Linked DNA regions of Oryctolagus cuniculus. The protein of the gene in region 2 interacts with the protein of the main gene of each other region in a pairwise test. Links are inferred from orthologs where the notes say so. Each region holds a gene or a part of one and is shown on either strand. Other genes may lie near its edges. The genes, in order: ZBED1, EFHC1 and KCTD4.

Region 1 (3,652 bases), on a different chromosome or scaffold from region 2:
CCTGTATGAGAAGCAGAGGCAGCAGGGCGTAGCCACACCACCATGCATGCTCGTGAGTGACCGCGTGTGCTGGTGGGGCAGCACGCTGGCCATGCTGCGGCGGCTCCAGGAGCAGCAGTTGGTTGTAGCGGCTGTGCTGGTGGAGGACAGCAACAACCACCACCTTATGCTGGAGTCTGCTGAGTGGACCACTGTGGCGGGACTCGTGGACCTCCTGCAGCCCTTCCAGCAAGTGGCTGAGACACTGGCCACCTCCAGGTACCCCGCCATCAGCATGGTGAAGCCACTTCTGCACATGCTTTTGAACAGCACGCTCAGTGCCAAGGACACGGACCCCAAGGAGATCAGCATGGCTAAGGAGGTCATTGCCAAGGAGCTCTCCAGGACATACCAGGACAGCCCTGAGGTGGACCTGTTCCTGAACGTGGCTACCTTCCTGGACCCACGGTACAAGAGGCTGCCCTTCCTGTCTGCTTTCAAGAGGCAGCAGGTGGAGAACCGTGTGGTGGATGAGCTGAAGGGTCTTCTCGACAAGGCCCAGGATGCCCACTTGGGGCCGACAGCGTCTGAGGACAAGGTCTACCCTGTACCTGAAGAGCCGCCGGCCAAGAAGCTCCCGCTGGCATCCACACCCCCATCCAGTACCGCCATCCACGACCTGTTGGCTGAGATCTTCTGCCCTGTGGACTGTGGGGAGGACCAGGAAGAGTGGCACGCCCAGGCTATGGAGGAGCTGAGCAATTTCAAGTCACAGAAGCTGCTCGGCCTCCACGAAGACCCCCTCAAGTGGTGGTCGGATCGCCTAGCACTCTTCCCTGGCCTGCCCAAGGTGCTGCAGAAGTATTGGTGCGTGGCGGCCACGCGTGTCTTTCCTGAGCGCCTCTTTGGATCATCGGCCAACATGGTCAGTGCCAAGAGGAACCGCCTGGCCCCCGCGCATGTTGATGAGCAGATCTTTCTCTATGAGAATGCCCGGAGCTCTGGGGCTGAGGGTGAACCCCAAGATGAAGATGAGGGCGAGTGGGGCTTGGACCAGGAGCAGGTGTTCCAGCTGGGGGATGGCACCAATGGCACCTTCTTTGGCATCAGAGACACCAGCTTCTTATAGGGACAATGGTTTCCAATAGCTTGAGAACTGCGATGAATTCATCTTGAAAAGTCTTGTAGAAGTTGGCAGTAAGGCCATGAGGTTCTGGATTTGTCTGTCTGGGGAGGGTCTTTATGATTGATTCTGTGTCTTGACTAATGGGTCAGTTTAAGATTTTCTGTGTCTTCATGATTCAGTTTTGGTAGTTGTGTGGCCCACGGTGGGGATGTTTCCACTCTAAATATTGACTCGGCTGGCTCCATGTTGATCTCAGAGACAATGCACGGCATGTGAACTGAGACAGGTGAGAAGAAGGAAGAAGGGCATGGCCCTGAGCATCTTGGAGCCCACCAAATGAATTTTCCTCTGTGGGTTTCTCCTTATCCTTGAGACTCAGGAGATTAGCTCTGCACCCAGTTCCTGTCTGGCAGTTGCAAATCCCAAACCAGAGCACGCAGAATGTTTTTCCTCCCTGCAATTCATGTTCTTCCTGGGAGGGCTTTTGTTGCAGCCCTGGGCATCGTGGATGAAGGGGAGGAATGCCCGGAGCTCAGGTTGGGACACAAGGAACCTCCCCCAAGCATTGGTTATCATACATGAGCTTGCTGCACGTACACATCTTCCTTGAAAGCAGGAGGCTGCTTCCTGTGTAAACTTGGACAAGATTGCCATGTGCATCTCTTATAAATCCCCAAGTTTTATGGTTGGTGGTGAGAAGTGTTAATGAGCATAAAATGCACACATTTGGGTAAAAAAATGTTGTTGTGTGTGGGATATCTCTGGTCATACTGCCTGCAAATGGTCATCTCTAGTGTTGGCCAAATATTTGCTTTGTAGACACAGTCCTTCCAAGCTGTGGCATTCTGAGCCTGTGATTCCTGTGTCTCTTGATGTCTGATATGTGCAGTTGCTTTCGGGGTGATTGAGAATAAGGCTTTTCATTTTGTGACCTGCACTTGCCCAGCTCTTCACCATTCTGAAAAGTGAGGGTGACCAAGGCATATCTCTTGAATTCTGTTTTTCCACCTCAGTGACTTAGGAGGTGGTATAGTGTTATTTTTTTTAATTGTTATATTGTTTTGGGGGCAGAGGGTCATCATAGGTTTTCTTTGATAATTTTGGAGGAAGTCAAAAGACATTTTTCCAACAGGGGAATTATTTTAGAACTTGCCAGAAAGCCTGCTTTCCCTAAGAGGGACTTTGTGACTCCTGTTTTTAAAAAATTTTTGTAACCTTTTATTTGAGGTGTACAAACTTCATGAATTTCATGTAAACAAATTTAATGATTCTTCCCACGCCACCCTCCCTCCCTCCCACCCACACTCTCACCCTTCTTCCTCCTCCCTCTCCTAGTCCCATTCTTATTTTTTACTAAGAACTATTTTCAATTAACTTTATACATATACAATTAACCCTACACTAAGAGTTCAACAAATAGTATGAAAAACAACCAACAAAAAACCCCTTTTATTACACAGGAAAATGTGTGTTTCTGCAGACACCTGCCTCTCCATGCCTCATTTCTCATTTTTTAAGCCTTTTCTGTGTTTTTTTTTTTTTTTCATTGTTGCTTTACTCACTGACTCTTGGTGTGGGCATTTCACGGTTGAGGTGGCTGTGTCTCATATCTCAAAGCCTGGGTTCAGTCCCAGCTCCACCCCCCAAATCCAGCTTCCTGCTAAGGCGGATCCTGGGAGGCAGCAGGTGATGGTGCAAGTGTTCGGGTCCCTGCCACTCACCTGAGAGACCTGGATAGAGTCCCAGTCCCTGGTTTCCGCCTGCCTAGTCTCAGCTGAGAAGACGGCCCTACAGCTGCTTTTTTTTTTTTAACTTTTATTTAATGAATATAAATTTCCAAAGTACGACTTATGGATTACAATGGCTTCCCCCTCATACCGTCCCTCCCACCTGCAACCCTCCCCTTTCCCACTCCCTCTCCCCTTCCATTCACATCAAGATTCATTTTCGATTCTCTTAATATACAGAAGATCAGCTTAGTATACATTAAGTAAGGATTTCAACAATTTGCTCCCACACAGAAACATAAAGTGAAAAATAATAGATGATTTTTTTAAATGATGATGAAATCAGATCAGACCTATTGTCATGTTTAATCCCAGTGAGAGTCAAGTTGGGAATTGATAAATTTTTTTTTAACAGAAGATCAGTTTAGTATGCATTAAGTAAAGATTTCAACAGTTTGCACCCCCATAGAAACACAAAGTGAAAAATACTGTTTGAGTACTCGTTATAGCATTAAATCTCAATGTACAGCACATTAAGGACAGAGATCCTACATGAGGAGTAAGTGCACCGTGACTCCTGTTGTTGACTTTACCAATTGACACTCCTGTCTATGGCATCAGTAATCTCCCTATGCTCCAGTCATGAGTTTCCAAGGCTATGGAAGCCCTCTGAGTTCTCCGACTCTTGTTTAAACAAGGTCATAGTCAAAGTGGAGGTTCTCTCCTCTCTTCAGAGAAAGGTACCTCCTTCTTTGAAGACCTGTTCTTTCCACTGGGATCTCACTCACAGGGATCTTTTTGCCAGAGTGTCTTGGCTTTC
Region 2 (3,752 bases):
GGTGAACCAACGGAAGGAAGACCTTTCTCTCTGTGTCTCTCTCACTGTCTAACTCCGCTTGTAAAAAAAAAAAAAAAAAAAGGACAAGAATGGGAAACAGGTAGTAGGGGACGAGGGAGTCACTAGACAAGAAACTCTTTTGGGCTGGGTGTGGTAGACAGGCATCAAAAACTGCCTCAGGAGCCACTGAGTGCATTCCTGTCCTAGGCACCCCTGATGTTCATACCAACTGGTAAAATCCAACAGGGAGATTTGCTCCAGCAAGCAGCAATAAAAAGTAAAGCTGCCATCTATACAAGCAGGAAATTACCCACGAAGGTGACTTGCACTTCTGTGTGAGGCTTGCTACACTATCACGTTCCTAAGCTGACAAGTCAGAAACACCTGTTAGAAAAATCAGATTCCTGGGATCCACTTCAGACCCAATGAGTACAAATCTCTGGCCTCCTATGTTTGCTTTTTGTCTTTAAGATCTTTAGGCTGATGAATAGCGCTTTTTCCCCCCCTCCTAAAATGTCTCAGGAATAGGATAACATTTCTTTTAAGGAAAAACAAGTTTTGTAAAAGGCACCAAAGGCCAGAACACTTATGACGCTGATGATATTTCACCTCAGTTATTTGTTTCTTTCTCATCACCTAGTGTTTCTCCTTGAATCAGCTGTTTACCTTTGCGTTTCTTATCTTTGCAGTTGCAAGTACAAACTGGATTGGGATGAGCAACCTCTAGCTCTTGAGTCAACAAACGTTGAGTTCTTAGAGCATCGCATAGCGTCTGAAAGAGAAGATGCAAGGCACGCCACACAAGAACCGAGAGGGAGCTGAGCTGCAGGGGCTGACAGTGGAAGAAGGAAGGCTGAAGGGAACGGGGGATAATACAGCAACGAGACGATTAGGGACGAGATGGTTGCACTGGTTCACTGACCATCCCTGCACAACAGAAATACAACCATGAATGATCCGCAGTCCCTGTCCCCAAAAAGTGTGGGTCTGAGTTGGGTTCACACTTTCACCCGGACTAACCATCACACTAGGACAGGATTCCTTTTCCCAGAGCTGGGTGAGAAGAGTGCCTGGGCTCACGAAGCCCTCAGTGCGCGGTGAGATCGGCGAGGACCAGGGTGGGGCCAAGGAAGGCACCTATCTTCTGCAACTCCTCTAAGGGCCAGCTCGGACCCTGGACCTCCCAGCAAGAACGAACAGCCTCCTTTGCACCCGCCTTTTCCTACCCTGTCCCACAGCCCCCACGTAGCATCTTGGGGCAGACCGGCGGCGGTGACGCGGGGCAGGCGTGGCCATCTCGGAAACGCCCACTAGCCGCGCCCCGCCGTCGCGACCGCCTTACCGCGAGAATACGCAGCCCCGCGGCTGCGCACGCGCAGACCTCTCACGCCGGCGCCTCCGGCCCCGCCCCTGGCTCACGGGCTCTCAGGATGTTTGGGCGTTACCATGGAGCCTGGGGCGGCCTGCCAACGCGGCTGGTCGCCCCGGCAACCAAAGTGGACCATACCTGACCTAGCTGGCGGCGAGGATACCGGCTGCGATGGTGTCCAACCCCGTGCATGGCCTGCCCTTTCTACCAGGCACGTCCTTTAAGGACTCCACGGTGAGGACTTAGGTGCCCAACACCCACCTGTCCCCACGTCCCCGTCCCTAGCGGGTTCCCCTCGTACTACACCTTCATTCCTCTCTACCCTTCAAACCGACCCTCTGCCCCGACCTCGTTCTTGCTTCTCCTCCCAAGTTCTGTCTTCCTCATTAACCTCGCCTCATCTTCCCTCTTCCGTCCCATGTCCTCGGCGCCGTCCCTCTCTGTGGTTTTCCCACGCCATCGTGGCAGTCTGTTGGCGCTTCTTGGCCCTCTTCCTCCGAGCCGCTTTTGCACTTGCTTTGCTGGTCCGGCCCCCTGCCTCTGCTCTCTGGATCAGTTTCCCCCTTCCAACTCCCGAGCTCTGGCCCGGCTCACTCTCCCACGCCGGGCCCTGTCTGCCCACCTTGTCCCCCGGCCTCTCTCTTCCGACACCGTCACTCCTGCCCCCCTATCCTACCCCCTCTGCCCAGGCCCGTCATTCTCCTCCGCCCTCCTCCTCCCTCTTCTGAATCCTGAACCCTATAGTCTCTCCCACGCCAGCTCCATGTCCTGTTTAATGGGCACATGGATCGTTTCCATTCATCCCTTCTTTCTGCCGGACTCTTCTAATATGCGCCTTTCTCTCCAGCCTGTCTTTTCTAGTCCCACCTTCTTCCTGTTCTTGTTTGCTCTCCCCCATGCAGTTTTTTTTTTTTTTAAACTTGCCCACCATCCTTCCCTACTTTCTAGGGGATACTCCATTCCATCCGCTTCTCCTCGACCACAGTTGATTGGTTGTTCCTTTCTCTTACCCAGTCTGATTCATTTCACTCCCGAGTATTTGTGAGATTCCTCTTTTGATTTTGTTTTGCTCTTTCCTCCAATAGCAGCAGCAGCTTAGCATTTGCTTTAATTCTAACATAATTGGTGAAATATATTTTCTGGAAAATCAGTATTCAGTAATTTTATAGGCAAAGCAACAATAATTTATATATTTTAATGATTTAAGCACTGAAATTCATGTTCATATTTAAACACTTAATTCCATGTTCATAAAATTAAGATAAAATATTTGCTCTGTTTTCTTTGGAAGAATGAATTTAAATTGAAGTTGAAATTTTAGTGAGAGAATTTGGGTTCTGATAGATTTCCAGTTTCAGTGGACTTTTTGGTTGTATGTGATTTAGACGATGTTGTATGCAGTTTCCTGCCCCATGCAGGATAAGCTTAAGCAGTTGGTGATGGGGAGTATGGGTTATCCACAAGGCAGGGTTGAGTTGCTTTGGGGCTTAAAGATGTGTGGATAGAAGTACCATGCCCTAAAGGTAGACAGATGTATTTCTATACTTTAAATAAGATAAACTGTGCATTGGACATGTTTCATATGTTTTATTAAATAATTTTCACTTATTCATTTGAGAGGGCGAGAGAGAGAGAGAAAGAAGGTTGCCATCTACTGGTTCACCTCACAAATAACTGTGACAGCCAGGGCTGGGCTGAGGCCCAAAGTGGGAGCCAGGAATAAAACCAGGTCTCCTACATGTGTAGCAAGAACCCAATCGTCTGGACTATCAACACTGGGTCTGGATTAGCAGTGAGCTGGAGTCAGGTGCCTGAGCCGGGTGTCAAGCATAAGTACTCCAATGTACTATGTGGGTGTCTTAACCACTAGACCAAATGCCTGCCGGTTTCACATTTTAAACATATTGACCAAGTGTCAAACAATTTGCTTTATTTGAGATTTGAACAACATGACCACTATCACTTCAACAGTAAAGACTAGATATGTGTAACTCTAAGGGTACTCAGAAGGTGAAACTGATAAGTAGGAGGGGTAGTGGCCTTGCTTCAGGTACCTTTGAGTCATAATTGATGATAGAGACATCTGTCTAAAGCCAGAAAAGCTAACTGAAGTCCTGTTGTCACTTCTGTCTTTAGAAGCAAAAGAAGGGCCGGTGCTGCGGCTCACTAGGCTAATCCTCCACCTTGTGGCGCCGGCACACCGGGTTCTAGTCCCGGTCGGGGCGCCGGATTCTGTCCCGGATGCCCCTCTTCCAGGCCAGCTCTCTGCTGTGGCCTGGGAGTGCAGTGGAGGATGGCCCAAGTACTTGGGCCCTGCACCCCATGGGAGACCAGGAGAAGCACCTGGCTCCTGCCATCGGATCAGCGCGGTGCGCCGGCTGCA
Region 3 (3,752 bases), on a different chromosome or scaffold from region 2:
TAGTAGACAATTTTAAATCAGCAGAAGCATTTATGATACACCTCCACTGAACTCCTTTCCATGCTAATGAAGGCTTTCCGTTCCCCAATATCAAACACAGGGACAGATGCCCACAGCCTGCCATACGATACTGGATAGCAGGTCAATCTCTGGTACTCCCACATGCTTCTGCTCACACTAGGCTGGAACTTGTTTATGCTAGTTTCAGTATTTATGCAATTCTATTATATAACACATAAGCCCATCAAATTATGAGTATAAGTGAGGGGGTAAGCTTTGTTAATACTTGATATAAACTGCCGGAAAAAATTTAGGTATGTGTGAGATAAGCAGAGACAGGAAGAGAAACATAAGAATCTAGAAAGATCTGCACCTGTGTTGCTTCATAGTGTCTTAAGTTCTTGTTCCTTTTTGAAGCAACCAAAACTGAAAATCTAAACTAAATTATGGGTTTAATTTTTCCAGGAAAGAAAAAGCAGATGGTCATTCAGCACCCCATACTCAAAGGCCTTGTCTTCCATGTAATCAGCAGCTAAATGTACTTTTATAAGTTTTAAAATTAAATATTAAAGCAGGATGGGGCCAGCACTTGGCCATTTCTTCAATACTTCTTGGATTCCAGGAAATATTCATGGCTCCTTTCTAAATTCTGGCATACCTACCTCTCCTCTTTGTCTAGCCTGGCTTGTTAACTGGTTTCTGCTACTTGAAAACAAAAGAATCTTAGTACAAACACCTTTGGTGATGGTATATTGTTTATGTACTTCCTATCACTTAGTTTCAGAAAATTTTAAAGCACAGGTTACATAAAGTACATCTTATAAAAATAACTGAAGGCTTCTAGTTATGATTCTGTCACTAATTAGCGCTAGTTTGCAGAAGTAAATTCACATCTCTGTGCCACAGCATCTATATAATGAAGCCATTGGAACCTGTGGGATCTTCTCTACTTGTATTTCACTACAAAAACATTGGCCTTCCTCTCCAACTGAGGGTGTTTGATTACTTCATTGGTGCTATTTTGTTTGCTCTAGTACATTCTAAGGGAGCCAATATAATTAAATTTTCTTTGAGCAAAAACTACAGGGAAACTGTTTCTCAGAGCAGCAGCAACAACAAAACATTAAAAAACTGCCCAAGACGTGAAAAAGGTCAAAATGTTGTTCTAGGCCGAATCTTCCTACTCTGCATTTGAACTTGAGATGTACTCTTTTTGGGACAACCGAAATGACTGAATAGCCCTTTTCATCTGCTAAGGAAATTCCTAGGTGACACAAGCAGTGAGTAAGCAGGAAGGGTGCTCACTGGTGCTGGCACTGGCACGTAAGCAATGAGATCAGGCATGTCAGGAAGTCACAGGCATCAGGATGCTAGAGGCATCCATTCCCACTCTGCACCCAGCTGAATGTGGAGGCCTTGAAGAGCTCACTGGACTCCAGGTAGAAGAGACCAAGGGTGTTAGCAGCCAAGATTTTGGGGTGATCCTCAAGACTGCAGTACTCCCCTGGTTCTTCTGTATCTCCCACCTGTGTCTACACTCTCAGGAAAAGGACAAGAGATATTCCCAGAGACGAAGTGCATTTCAAAGGTAAACCATTTTTCATTTCTAATTGTCTCCTTTCTTTACACATGAGGCAATTTCTTCACAGTTTTCTGCTGTTGCTACCCTGTGGTTCTCAGATGAAGCCTATTAATACAAGCCACTTGGCATTTTAACCAGATAGGCAAACTTCCTATCCTAGTATTAATATAGAAGTTGGTCTTTATTCAAATATGCAAATATGTTCTTATCTCTATTTACTTTTCAAGAATCTTAGGAATAAAAGATGATGATCAGATTAAAGTAACCTAACCCTTTAGGGTTAGCATTTGATGATCTCAAAGGTAATGAATGATCAGTCACATAATAATATTCAAATCAGAAATATAATGAGGTTTCAAAATGTTTATGGAGGACTAGGATTAAAAGATACTGTGCCTTTTCCATGAACATTTTGAAGGCCCCTCCTATGTTCAGTGTGCTGTGGCCGTAGCAGCCATTTGGGGAGTGAGCCAACAGAAGGAAGACCTTTCTCTCTGTCTCTCTCTCACTGTCTATAACTCTACCTGTCAAATAAATACAAAAAAAAAAAAAGCTTGCTGTCTAAAGATGAACAAATTATCATTTAAATTTGTAATTTCCATCTTGCAGTAAAGTAACACTTGAAACAAGGAGGGGGATGTATAAAAATACCTAAAGCATTAGGAAACACATCCTTCTGGAAAACTCATGTCTCCTGGAGCACTGACTTATACCACACTGCTACTTTGATCAAATAGCGCTCAAGTCCACAGCAGAACTTAAGACCCCTGCATTTAGGAAGACTGCAACAGAGCTGAAGACTCAGTACTCATGAAACACTTACAGACCAGCTAATGGTATTAACTCAGCTGAATATGCTACAAATTCCATTGATTTTGTATCCTTCGTAACTCTTGGTCTCTTTCCCACGTTTAACTAGTAACAGTAGTCATCCCATATACTAGTTTAGTTCTTTATGATTTTCCAGATATTCTGAAATTATGAGACCCTCACAACGAAAGGGTAGAGATTTCAACCCCACCATTGATCCTTGAGATCAATCCCCTTTCTTGAGCTCATCCTTTTCCTTAATAGGGCACTTTTTGTTTGGTTTTGACAGGCAGAGTGGACAGTGAGAGAGAGAGACAGACAGACAGAGAGAAAGGTCTTCTTTTGCTGTTGGTTCATCCCCCAATGGCCGCTGCGGCCGGTGCGTTGTGGCCAGTATACCGCGCTGATCCGAAGGCAGGAGCCAGGTGCCTCTCCTGGTCTCCCATGCGCGTGCAGGGCCCAAGGACTTGGGCCATCCTCCACTGCACTCCCGGACCACAGCAGACAGCTGGCCTGGAAGAGGGGCAACCGGGACAGAATCTGGCGCCCCGAACGGGACTAGAACCTGGTGTGCCGACGCCGCAGGCTGAACTCACACACACACACACACTCCTCACTGGGCCCACTCCCAAAGATTCTGTGTTTACTGTGTTGTGGAGCATTTGTATAACCTCCACAGATAACTTTAATTCTTTCTTTGTCTCTCTTCATCCTCCTTTACACACACACACTTCCCTCCCTCCGTTCTCCTCTCCCCTTAAATTTCATTTTCTTGTGACATGAGGGGAAGAGCTCACGGGGCTGCCTAAATATTTCATTAACTCAAAGATGACATCAATTGTAATATTCCCCATTATTCACAGTATCATTAGAAACATAAAATGCTGCCACTAAACTTTGACAAGCCAATCATTTTGACATACTTCAATTTCAGAAACATCAAGTATGAAAAAAAATGTGAAATACGCTCGAGTTCTCTGTCCCTAATTTAAAACTGCTCTACTCTGTAAATAAGAAAGCACATTTGTCCCATAAGTCACATAGCCTTTACGTCTGTTCAGGCTCCCTTCTCCCCCTGCAGACACAGAGGATGTGAAGACAGCAACAGAAGGAACAATGGGAGGGGACAGCATTGGGGAGAAGAGACCCTCTTTGGTCACTGAACACCATCATCTTCAGGCATGTCCCTCATCTTGAGATCATAGATAATGGTTATTAACTTAAAACATCTCCTTCCCTGAGATGGGAAAACTTCAGTTTGCAAATGGCACTATAAAAATGAGCTCTATGCAACATTATAATTTCAGTGTTCATTTGATGGCACACACAAGTGTTCTGCTCATCTGGTTACAATAAAAAT

Evidence for each region.
Region 1: the proteins of EFHC1 (region 2) and ZBED1 interact in binary tests that used the Homo sapiens proteins (3 or more experiments, as listed by UniProt). The two-hybrid records come from large-scale screens. The link is inferred for Oryctolagus cuniculus from reciprocal best matches to the Homo sapiens genes EFHC1 and ZBED1.
Region 3: the proteins of EFHC1 (region 2) and KCTD4 interact in binary tests that used the Homo sapiens proteins (3 or more experiments, as listed by UniProt). The two-hybrid records come from large-scale screens. The link is inferred for Oryctolagus cuniculus from reciprocal best matches to the Homo sapiens genes EFHC1 and KCTD4.

What each region holds. Positions count from the first base shown.
Region 1 is NC_091433.1:98,523,526-98,527,177, reverse strand, and holds part of ZBED1 (E3 SUMO-protein ligase ZBED1), read left to right. Parts: coding exon 1-1,108; 3' UTR 1,109-3,652.
Region 2 is NC_091436.1:117,562,002-117,565,753, reverse strand, and holds the start of EFHC1 (EF-hand domain-containing protein 1), read left to right. Parts: upstream 1-1,367; 5' UTR 1,368-1,540; coding exon 1,541-1,603; intron 1,604-3,752. UniProt on the Homo sapiens protein: Microtubule inner protein (MIP) part of the dynein-decorated doublet microtubules (DMTs) in cilia axoneme, which is required for motile cilia beating.
Region 3 is NC_091440.1:64,328,545-64,332,296, reverse strand, and holds the start of KCTD4 (BTB/POZ domain-containing protein KCTD4), read left to right. Parts: upstream 1-1,371; 5' UTR 1,372-1,588; intron 1,589-3,752.